Notamacropus eugenii: one gene and its partners. The protein of the gene in region 1 interacts with the protein of each later gene in a pairwise test. Links are inferred from orthologs where the notes say so. Each region holds a gene or a part of one and is shown in the gene's direction. Other genes may lie near its edges. The genes, in order: CREB3L1, PLP1 and TMEM11.

The links.
Region 2: the proteins of CREB3L1 (region 1) and PLP1 interact in binary tests that used the Homo sapiens proteins (3 or more experiments, as listed by UniProt). The two-hybrid records come from large-scale screens. The link is inferred for Notamacropus eugenii from reciprocal best matches to the Homo sapiens genes CREB3L1 and PLP1.
Region 3: the proteins of CREB3L1 (region 1) and TMEM11 interact in binary tests that used the Homo sapiens proteins (3 or more experiments, as listed by UniProt). The two-hybrid records come from large-scale screens. The link is inferred for Notamacropus eugenii from reciprocal best matches to the Homo sapiens genes CREB3L1 and TMEM11.

What each region holds. Positions count from the first base shown.
Region 1 is NC_092877.1:4,550,838-4,554,582, reverse strand, and holds the start of CREB3L1 (cyclic AMP-responsive element-binding protein 3-like protein 1), read left to right. Parts: upstream 1-803; 5' UTR 804-1,293; coding exon 1,294-1,395; intron 1,396-3,197; exon of another isoform or gene 3,198-3,745.
Region 2 is NC_092879.1:92,939,322-92,943,066, forward strand, and holds the start of PLP1 (myelin proteolipid protein), read left to right. Parts: upstream 1-929; 5' UTR 930-1,089; coding exon 1,090-1,093; intron 1,094-3,745.
Region 3 is NC_092874.1:378,986,019-378,989,763, reverse strand, and holds the start of TMEM11 (transmembrane protein 11, mitochondrial), read left to right. Parts: upstream 1-1,085; 5' UTR 1,086-1,769; coding exon 1,770-1,831; intron 1,832-2,315; exon of another isoform or gene 2,316-2,459; coding exon of another isoform or gene 2,460-2,482; intron 2,483-3,745. UniProt on the Homo sapiens protein: Plays a role in mitochondrial morphogenesis.

The sequences.
Region 1 (3,745 bases):
AGAGGTTAAGTGACTTACTCAGGGTCACAGAACTGGATGTCTGAGGTACGATTTGAACTCAGATGTTCCTGATTCCAGAACCTATCCACTGAGCCACCTACCCTACCCCTTCCCCTCGCCCCCAGGACCTAGGCTCTTGGGCAAATCTTTCCCCTTCCCTGTGCCTCAGTTTCCTTATTGTAAAATAACAGACTGATCTGAAAAACCTCTGAGGTTTTTTTTTTCCATGACTAAACCTATGATCCCATCAACTACATCTAGGACCAGCTAAAGTAGTGCTCATGAAAAGGTTTTGTTCAGTTGAACAGAATTGAAGGCCTACTATGCGCAAGGCATTTTGCTAGGCGCTGCCAGTGTTTCTATCCCGTGTGGTGAAGGAACAATGACCTGGAATTTTCTAACTCTCGGTTCCTTTCTGCTGTTATTTCCATAAAACGACTGGAACAGAAATGCCTGGCACTTGCCAATTATTGCCGGGGGAGGGAGGCTGACACAGCGACTAAAAGCCGGGGGGTCTGTGGCCACCTGCTGAAGATTCCTTAGCTGAAGGCTTACTCTCTGCCCAGGGCCTGGGACTGGTTTCCCTTGTAGTCCCACGGCGCCCGCAGTCATTAATCATTGCCCTGGTTCGGGGGCAAACATTCTGCACGCAGAGAAAAGGAACGGCAGGGTTGGTCCTCTAAGAGGCTGCCTCTTTAAAGGGACGGGTCTGGAAGAGAAGGCACGCCCCCAATCTCATTACTACTAAGGAGGCCCCTGAATATTGAGGAGGTGGGGGTGTGGCAACCAAGCCTAGCTGGCGGAGCTTGGGTTTCCCGGCTTTGGAGACAGGGAAAGTGACAGTAGAGTGCGGAGGGGAGAAACGCACCGAGGGAGCGGGAGAGGAGAAAGCTCGCTCGGCTCCCACCCAGTCCCGGGGGAGTCCGCAGCTCCCCCGTTCCCGGCTCCCGCCCAGCCCCTGGGAGGGGCGGGAGCCCCCACTTCTCTGGCCCCAGCCTCTCCTTATGGAATCTCGCTTTGCCCGGGGTGGAGGAGAGATGCCCACCGTGCGCCGGGAGCCCCGCTGCCCTGCCGGAGGCTCACGGATGCCCTGAGCCCACACTCCGGCTGCACCGCTGTCGCCGTCGCCCCCGGCCAGACGAGGCTCCAAGATCGCCGGGGGCTTGCCGGAGAGCTGCCAGCCCGAAGGCGAGCTTGGTGGCCTGGACGCCCCCAGCGCTGGACTGACTGAGCCGGGCAGCAAAGGGGGTGTTCTGCCCGCGCCACCTCCTGGGAGCCCCCGAGCCAGACACCATGGACGCCGTGTTAGAGCCCTTCCCAGCAGACAGGCTCTTCCCCGGCTCCAGTTTTCTGGACCTGGGCGATCTCAATGAGGCGGATTTCCTGAGCAATGCGGTAAGAAAGGCCAGGGGTCCGCGCCCAGCGGTCACTCGTGTCCCCAGCTGCTGAGCGCGCGCGCACAAGCACACACACACATACATACACACACACACTCACGCACACACACAAGCACACACACACGCATGCATACACACGCACACACACACATACATACACACACACACTCACGCACACACACAAGCACACACACGCGCACACACACACACACATACATACACACACGCACACACACATACACACACGCGCAGACACACACGCACACACACGCACACACCACGGAGGCAGGCAAAGGACCCAACTCTAACCCCCTGGCACGGTCTGGCGTCCCCCGGGATACAGCAGCTGCGACCCTGTGCGGGGGTCAGCCCCAGCGAGGGAGGGGCGGGAGGAGTGGGTGTAGTATTTAGATCCCGAGTGGAAGAATGAGGTGACCCAAGGAAGAGGGCTGGGGTAGGAGCGAAGCAGAACCAGAGCCCAGAGTCGCCCTCGGGGTCAGCTCGTTGGCGCTTAGCCTCCTTCCGTGACATGTCACCCACTCCAGCCCTTTGGCCGGTCATGAAGGCACGATGCTGGCAGTGGAAACAATGGCAGCCCTGGGAGGGGGCAGTTGTGCCCCTCTCCCTCACTCCCCGCCCCCCCCCTTGGAACCTGGTTTCCTTTCAAGGCCAGCTGGCCTAGAACCCGGACTCCGAGAGACTGAGATCTAACCGCTGCCCCAGCTCCAGCTCTAGCCCCCGGGTGTCTTCTGAGCTTGCATTTCTACCTAGCTCCGGGGAGTCTTCTGTAGCTTCTGAGGGAGGAGAGGGTAGAAAGTCTCTCTTGGCAATAGGGTCATTCTGACTCGAGGAAAGAAACTCGGATGATTCCCCTTTCCTCCCCCCTGTCCCTGTCCCCCCACTCCCCCTTTTTGTTCCCGAGAGCAAAGGGTGCAGTCTGATCTTGGGGGAAGATGGGAGGGGGTAGTCTGCCGAAAGCCAGAGAAAGCCTGAGCCTGGCGCCCCTTCGGGGACACAACCTGGATCGACGCCAGACCAGGCGTTCAGGAGATGTTGCCGACTCCCCACCAACCTAAGGCAAAATATCAAGAGAGACCCTCAGCAGAGAGCTCAGGGACCAGCCCTGCACTCCCCACCTTTGTAAGAATAGGTTAGCAATGGGCAGAGAAAGCTGGCATTCTCTCTTCTCTCCCCACCCCACCCCCCCAAGGAAATGTGTCCTCCCTCCAGCAGGCTCAGCCCCAAGGCCCTGATGGTGAATGGAGGGGGATGGGGGCAGGGAGTGCACTCAGTCACGGGAGAAAATATTTGGCTTTGGAGGGATCTGCCCAGTTGAAATTTCAGGACCCTGTGTGGCTTGGAGGTATGCCTGTGGTTTGGAAGTAAGTCCAGACAGGCTCCCAGCAGGTTAATTCATCCAAGGGCCAAGTTCCCCTGGGTCCTTCAGGCCACCCAGGCCTTTCTCAGGACCCAACCATCCTAGGTGCAAAGTCAGCAGTTAGACTCTGAGAACTTTGCCAGAAAAAAGCGGAGAGCTCAGTACCCCGATATGTTAGGGGTAATCTCATCCTGCACCCTCTACCACCAGGGATTGTCTCGTTACAGAAGAGAAAAGTGAGGCTGCTAATAGGGTATTGACCAGATTGTAAATGGCCTCATTAAACAGTAAGCCCTTTGAGGGTGGGGATCATGCCTTATGTATCTTTGTTAGCCTACAAAGCACCAGCATAGGTCCTCAATCAATGTTAGTGGAATGCGTGAATGCATGAATGAGTGAATGAATGAATGAATCTGCAGAGGTATGAGTGGCAGAGGACCAGCTTTTAAATCAGGGGAACTGAGTTTTAGTCTTAATTCTGTTACCATCTGTACGACCTCACTTTAAAGTCACTTTAATCTCCCTATACCTCAGTTTCTCCATCTGCAAAATGAAAGTGGAGAAGTCAAATCAGATTATTTCTAAGGCGCCTTCCATTTTCAAGTTTATGAGAGGGTCTTCTGCTCATGAGAAAAAGAGGCAAGGCAGCCTAGTCCCATACTGTAAATCAATTGACGTCTAACACAAGTCTGAGAAACACAAAGGGGATGTGTGGCCTCTCTGCTTGTGATTTATCCAAAATAATAAATCCTGGCATTTATATAGCCCTTTGAGATTTGCAAAATGCTTTTCTTATGTTATCTCGTTAAATCCTGACAATTCCCCCAAGACAGGTTCTGTTATTTCCCCCACTTTATAGATGGGAAAACTGAGGCTCAGGGAGATGAAGTGACTTGGTGGTCTAAGTTGTTAAAGTAGTAAGTAGCAGTCACCCGCATGGGACCAGATAGCTAGTAAATGTCTAAGTTGG
Region 2 (3,745 bases), on another chromosome or scaffold:
TTGCACAAGATGTTTCCTCCAGGATAAAATGCCACCTCCCCTGTTTGACTAATTTCATATGAACTGTCTCCTCCCTCCACGGCCCCCACCTCACAAACTCAACTCTTACTTGTTCTTCCTGGTACCTAGAATTCCATTATCTCCTGCCTCTGTGCCTTTGCCCAGGCTGTGCCCATGTTTAGAGTTCTTTTATTCTTGGTTCCTTTCAAGTCTCAGCTCAAGGGTCAAGTCTCACCTACTAGCACCTTTTTCTGACTCTTCCTGTGATTAAAGCTTGGCTGCACACAAGCACAGTGGAATGTCAGCCCCTTGGGGGTAGGGTCTGTCTCCCCAGGGCCCAGCACAGCACTCGCCTTTAATGGAGGCTTCCTAGGGCTTCCTCATTCTTTTTCCTTGGCTTTTTGTCTGGCTCCCTGAGACACTAACTTGGGGGGTAAGGGCAAGCTCCATATGCCCAGCATCTGGCACAGTACCCAGCACACAGTAGGTGTTTACACACAGGAGGTGTTTACTTGTTAAGTGATTGTGCATTTGGGACAAGGTAACCAACAATTCCTCAGTTGGATCTTGGTCTCAGGGCATCTGACCATCTCATCTTTGGAACCCCACCCCACTCCATTCCCCCCAGTGCCATCCCCCCTCCTTTTGCCCATCTGGCTACCAGAATCATTTCCCTTCTGGCAACCCCCAAGCCATAATTTTTGATGTTACTGAGGAAGAGTGGGAAACCACACTGACAGCAACGAAAGGGAAACAAAATCCAATCTGGCAGCTGTGGGGGAAAAGCAAAGACACAGCAAGCCCTAAGAGAAGGGAGTATCCCGGTGAGGGGGGGGGGGGAAGGGGAGGAGAGGGGGCAGAAGGGAGGAGGAAGAGGAGGAGGAAAGGAGGCCTGTCCCTTTAAGGGGATTGGCTGTCAATCAGAAAGCCCTTTTCTTTGCTGGAGAAGAGGACAAAGATATTCAGAGTGAAAAAGTAAAGGACTGAGGAAGGAGAGGAGAGAGCAGCCAGGATTCTCCTCCCTGAAGCAAGTCTGTCCCAAAGTCGGAGAAGCAGCCAACCCTAGTTGGAGTCCGGAGTCCCAAAGCCATGGGTAAGTTTGCCAAGAACTTTAGCCACAGACACTGGAAGGTGGGACTGGTCCAGAGCTGGGGTCAGGCTGGGGATGCCCTTGGGGCTTTTGAATTCTAGGACTGGAGCATTGGGTTTCTAGTGATTCTGGGGTCAGGATATTCACTTTCGGCCCTGAGGGTGCTGGGTGCTGCTGCCTCATCACTCTCCATTTAGGATCCTGCTGGAGGAAATGCCAGTCAAGGAGGATAGATTGGCCTTTGTCCCTTTGCCCGGCTCCATTTGTCTCCCTCTTCCTCCTTCTCCATTGCTCTAAGGTCTTAGTGGCTGCTGGGCCTCTCCTTCCCCTCTCTTCTGTGGGACCAGGCTCAGAGTCTCTTGGAAGCTGGCCCTTAGCTCTGTCTGTCATCTCTTCATGGCTTGGTAGAAGCCTGGGGGCGCTGTCCTCTGGCACATTCCCTTCTAAGCAGGGTCTTCGGGGTACAGTTATCCCAGCCCATTTGTCAGCTAGAGTGTCCTTCACAAGAGAGTGTACTTTGCTCCTGTAGAAATGCAGGCTTTGCCTGAAAATCTCAATCGCTTCCTATAGGAACTCCACTCCAGTGACCCTCTGGTTGGTCCCCAGACTTCTGCTACACATAAAGTTCTCACTAAGATGACCATTTGTGTTCTTTCTAGTCCTTTCTGAAGGATGGAAAGAGGGACCAAACATTTATATAGTGCCTACTATGTGCAGGCACTGTGCTAAGTGCATATTTGTAAACAAATATGATCTTGTTTGAACCTCACAACAGCCCTGGGAGATAGGTGTTATCATTATCCCCATTTTACAGATAAGAAAACTGAGGCAGGCAGAAGAAAAGTGATTTTTCCAGGGTCACACAGCTAGTAAGTGTCTGAAGCTGGAATTGAACTCTAGTTTTCCTGACTCCAGGCCAGTGCTATATCCATTGAACCACCTAGTTGTCTCAGTGTACAGAGGCATCTTTTTGCAGGCCTTGTACTGCTAGTGGGGTATAATAGAAAGAAGGTTGGCAGAAGAGTCAGGAGCCCCCAATTCTGTCACTCATTAATTGTGTCATCTTGGTCAAGTCACTGTCTGGGTCTCAGTGGCCTCCTACAAAAGGAAGTGTTTGGATGTCCTGATTTCTAAGGTCCCTTACTGCCTCAGATCTCTGGCTTGGCTTCCCCTAGCTGTAAAATGAAGGAATTTGCTTGCATGCCCTTTCATCCCCATGCTGTGGTATAGTGGAAATCCGGCTGAATTTGGGGAGGATGAAGGTTTGAATCCCACTTCTGTCACACTGGGCAAACCGCTTAACTTCCCTGAGCCTTAGTTGTCTCTTCTGTATGATGGGGCTAATAATGGTACCTCCCTCTCAGGATTGTTGTGAGACTCAAGATAGCATTTGTGTAAAAGTGCTTTGCCAACCTTAAGATGTGGGCTCTGATGATTCTTAGGCACTATACCTGAACATCAGTTTCCTCACTTGGAAAATGGAGATAATAATCATTGTTCTGCCCCCTTAATAGGGTTACCAGTGGTCTTATACAAGGCAGTGAATGGGAAAGTTCCTTAAAAGTTATACTCTACAAGCACATGAGGGCTTGACTCCGAGCTGGCTCCAGCTCCCTGGGGTGGTTGAGCCCTTCCAGAAAAAGTTCTTGGAGTACTCTAGGTATTAGTGTCAGAAACATGTGGTCACCAGAGGAAGGTGTCTGGGGAAATGTCCTCTGGAGACAGTGGGATGCCAGGCTCCAGTCCTTGGAGATACCAAGGACTTGCCATATGGGCCAGGGAAGAGGGTACAAGTGAAGTGGTGAGTGGCTCAGGTTCCAGATAAGAAGGGATGAGGGTGAGGAGGGGTGTGAACAGGCTGAAATGCAATGCCTTTCTGCCAGCCAGGTATTGGCTTTAGATTTCAGCAGGACAAGACAGCCTCAGATAGAGGGTACTGCCAAAAGAAGGGGCAAATCGTACTGGAACTAGGCTCAGAGATAGGCCATATGCATCAGCTCCCACCTATTGGGTAGATGGAGAATAGTTCAGCCCGCTGAGATGAGGCCACCTCATGATGGCCCCCGGGGCTGTGGCCCCAGCCAACTTGTAGCCATGACATTGCAGAATGCTATAGTGTCTACCCTGGTTCCCGAAAAGACTGCAGGGATTGGGATTAGGGAGGCATCAATGACAGGTCCTTATGATTTGGCTTTGGTGGGGGACATGGACAACAGGGCAGAAGAAACCCAGAGCAATGCCAGATTCTCTTTTCTTGGTAATTGATCACCCCTCTTGGAGCAACAAAACTTTGGTTCCTAGAGTCTAGCCTTTAAGACTGAAGATTGAGAATGGTGGCTGTTACCCTGGTAACCAGACATCTTCTGCTTCATTTGAAGAGCTGTTGTTTACTGAGAAGGAAGTTTGGGCTTGCTTGGTGTGTGTGTGTGTGTGTGTGTGTGTGTGTGTGTGTGTGTGTGAGTGTGTGTGTGTGTGTGTGTGTGTGGAGGGGGGCTCAGGAGAAGAGTATGAAGGACAGAGCTCATGGCTCAGTCCAACAGCCCACAGCACCAGGAGACAAACTGGGTTCCATCAGCAGCCCTGATGTTACTTGAGTGATTATCGAGGAACAAACGAACATGTTCTTACTTAGCCAATCTGTTCCTGAGATAGCAG
Region 3 (3,745 bases), on another chromosome or scaffold:
ATCAGGAAATAGCCCAAGGAGGGGTGGTTTTAGACCTGAAATGTCCCTAAGTCAACTCAACAGTCAGGGCTGGCTCAGAAAGACCTGGTTGCTCTCATCAGTGTCTTGTTAGACAAGGTAAATGTAAGGGAGTATACATAGGATACAAATGATTGGTCAGGGAGTAGTAAATGTCATCATGACCCGGTGCACAGCCAGCTCAGCCCAGTGCACGGCCAGCTCCTCAGCCAGTGCACAGCCAGCTCCTCAGCCAGTGCACAGCCAGCTCCTCAGCCAGTGCACGGCCAGCTCAGCCCAGTGCACGGCCAGCTCAGCCAGCGCAGAGCCAGCTCCTCAGCCAGTGCACGGCCAGCTCCTCAGCCAGTGCACGGCCAGCTCAGCCCAGTGCACGGCCAGCTCAGCCAGCGCAGAGCCAGCTCCTCAGCCAGTGCACGGCCAGCTCAGCCCAGTGCACGGCCAGCTCAGCCAGTGCACAGCCAGCTCCTCAGCCAGTGCACAGCTGGCTCAGACTAATAAATTCTACAGGTGCAGCTGGCTACTGTATCAACAAGGGTGATGACAGTTGTTACCAGGGCAGGCTGTGTCCTGGACCCAGAAACTGCCTGGGGTAGTGCTTTGAGGCTAGGGAGAAATGGGATTTTAGAGTTGGGGCCCAAGCACCCCACCAGGTGGGTGAGCGAGGGGACCGTGTCCCCATGCCCAGACCCACGCTTGTCTCCTCCAGGGACTCCCAAGCTTTCTCTAGGGACACAACCGACCTGGTGAACCCCAGACGCATCCTTAGCACCCTGATGGAATCCCTGCTCCCCTCCTTGGATACCCCAGCACGAGCTGTGTGGCAGCGTCTGAAGCTGCAGCTCTCTCGTGGGGATGAAAGACCTCAGCTCTGCTATACTGGCTCTTTTCTCTGGAATCCAGGTTGTCGAGAGAGATGGCAGAATGGATGAAGGAGTGGAGGGAAGGGGAGATGGCCAACGTCCGGGGGAGAAGAGAGTGGAGAGACGGAGGGGGGCTGGATACGTGGAGGGAGGGCAGATGGATGAATGAATGGCGGAGGGCGGGGCGGGCGGCGGGAGGCAGCCTCCCTCCTCTCCATGACCTTAGCACGTAAAGGAGCCCGTGAAGGACAGAGCCTCGCTCGGAAAGGGCCCGCCTGGCCCGCCTCCGGGGGAGGGGGCGACGGAGAGGTCGGACCCTTAGCGGAGCCGCGGCGGGCAGGGAAGGAGCAGGAAGGGGCGGGGCGCTCGTCCCCGGTCCGCCGCTGTGAGCAGCTGCCAGGCCTAGTCTGGAGAAGGCGCCGAGGCTGCGGCGTGGAAGCAGGAGAGGCGGGAGACCGAGGGGGGCGGGGAAGGAGGAACGCCTTCCCAACAGCATTCTGGGAAGTATAGGCTCTCCCCGCGGGTCTCTTCAGCTTCTCTTTCTCGGGGCCACTGGCATGCTAACGTTTGCTGGACCTCTGCATCTGAACTCTTTGGGGGGCTCCCCTCGAGAAGGGATGACTTGGCCAAACCACACTGGATACAAGAGATACTTTTCCTCTTCTTGTCGCCTTCCTCCCTCAGGATCCAGACTACATTTCCCAGGCGACTTGCGAGAAGGCAGCTTGGAGAGGTGGCGCGGTGCACTGTGGAGGTTGTAGTTCCTATTTGATTCAGGCTTCCGCACCTCGGGCTATCCCGGTGCCGAGAGCCGGACTACATTTCCCTTCAGTCCTCCCGATTCCCCTCGGCCGCCTTGGCGGAGACATTTGCGAACGGAGTGTCTCCAAGATGGCTGCTTGGGGAAGGAGGCGCCTTGGCCCGGGCAGCAGTGGCGGCAGTGCCCGAGAGAGGTGAGCCTGGGAGAGCCGCGGTTCCTCCCGGGCCAGTGGCGGAGGGCGTGGGAAGCCAAAGGGAACCAGGCGGCGCTGCGGCGGCGGCCCTGGCGCCGGACTCTTCTCCCGCCCTCCCCTCAGTTCTTTGGGCTCCTCCTTCCCCCCGCCCGCTCGGTCCCCCTGCCTGCCCTCCGAGGGGCGCCTGGAATCTGGGCTCGAGGAGAGAAGCCGGGGGAGGGAGGGCGGAGAGGAGCGGAGCCGCGAGGGTCGGCCTGGGGCACCTCTCGCGGGGTCCGGGGAGCGCCGCCGCGGCGGGGAGGGGTGGGCGCGTCTGCAGGGAAGTGTGGTCCCAGTCCGGGCCGCGGAGAGCCCGGATCGTGCGGGAGGACCTAGGGCGAGGCGCCGGCGTCCCACCTGGGCCCGAGGGCCGGCGTGGCCGGACCCCCGCCCATCCCCCACGTGGGCGCGGAGGGGGCGCCCGGCGGGGGGCGTGCGTGTGAGTGCGTTCGCGCGCGTGAGTGCGCATGTGGGTCTGTTAGTCTGGGGGTGGGGAGGCCGGAGGAGAGCAGCCAGTAGTGACAGAAGCAGGTCAGCCGCGGGAAGGTCAGTGCGAGCGTGCACGTTTCCCGGGCCAGGCCCTTTCCAGATGTGGATCCCGCCCGGACAGAGGTGCCCGCCACCCCCCACCCCCACCCCCGGCCCGGGGTGCTCGGCCCTTGGCGGGGGCGTCCTTCCTAGTGACCTTTCCCTCCCCTCCCGGGGCTCGGGTGGGCAGGCAGAAGAAAGGTCTCTCCAGAACGATCCGGGAGGATCCTTCCTGTTCTTGGTGCTCGGGTTAATGGAGCAGTTCTGGCTCGGGGAACACTGTCAGAACTTTTTAGTTGTGTCTGTGTGTCTGTGTGTGTGTCCGTCCCCCGCCAGTCTGCTCGTCTCGTTGGGCTGACAGTTGATCTGGAAAGGAGAGGAGATATTTGGGTTGCTTTAAAGTTAGATCGGAAGAACGGGCTGGTTTGTGCTCCCTCATCACTGAAGTGGGGTTGGGGGGACAGGACGCGAAGTGTTAGGTTCTGACGTTGTTTACTGGTGCTGCTAAGATCAGGCGAAGTCATGGAGCTATTTTGATATCCAGATGGCATTAGAAATCGAAGTATTCAGATCCCCTGGACTTGGTGCCGTATGCATCAGTTTAGAAAAAGGGAATCAGTGAAAAACTGCACCCTCAGTAAATACGCGATCCTGTGTTCGGATGTCCCATCGTCTGGATTTTAAACTCTTGACTGATCCCTGGAGGTGTCGCCAAAATGTAGAAAATGGTTTGTGCCTTGGGATGATGGTCAAGAAGCTAGGGAAAAACCCATTCAAACCGATGGCTCAGTTGTAACAGAATACGGTATGCCTCCTAGAAGCAGGGCTTCTGATTTTCTGGTTTCATTTAGTGCCTTTCTCAACTCTTTCAATATAACTTGTTTTGGCTGAAGGTTACCTATTTATTTTCCTTTTAGCTAGGTTTTTGTTTGGGTAGTAGCTTGCCACATCTCAGCTTCCCTAAAGATCCACTTCCCACTCAAAAAGCAGGAGGTGGAAACATAACCCTGCCATGTAGATCCAGCTTGTCAGCTGCTTTCTGTGGCACACCTACAGATCTTGCTTGGCAGGTGGGGAGACTACTCTGAGGGCAGGGTAGATTAATTGATTACACACCACCATAAAGTATAATGGCTGCATGTTATTGGGTCTTATGACTGAAGTAGACTGTTTATGGCACTTTTAAATGACTTTGTTCCATGTCCAGTTTGCACTGATTAAAATTAAAGCTCTACATTTCTCATTCACTTTTTTTAAAACCACTACTGCATTTACCTGACTGGCATCTGGTTTGTGGTGGAATTCTTAAACATTGCCTAGTATGTGGGGCGTGGAGACTGGGAAAAC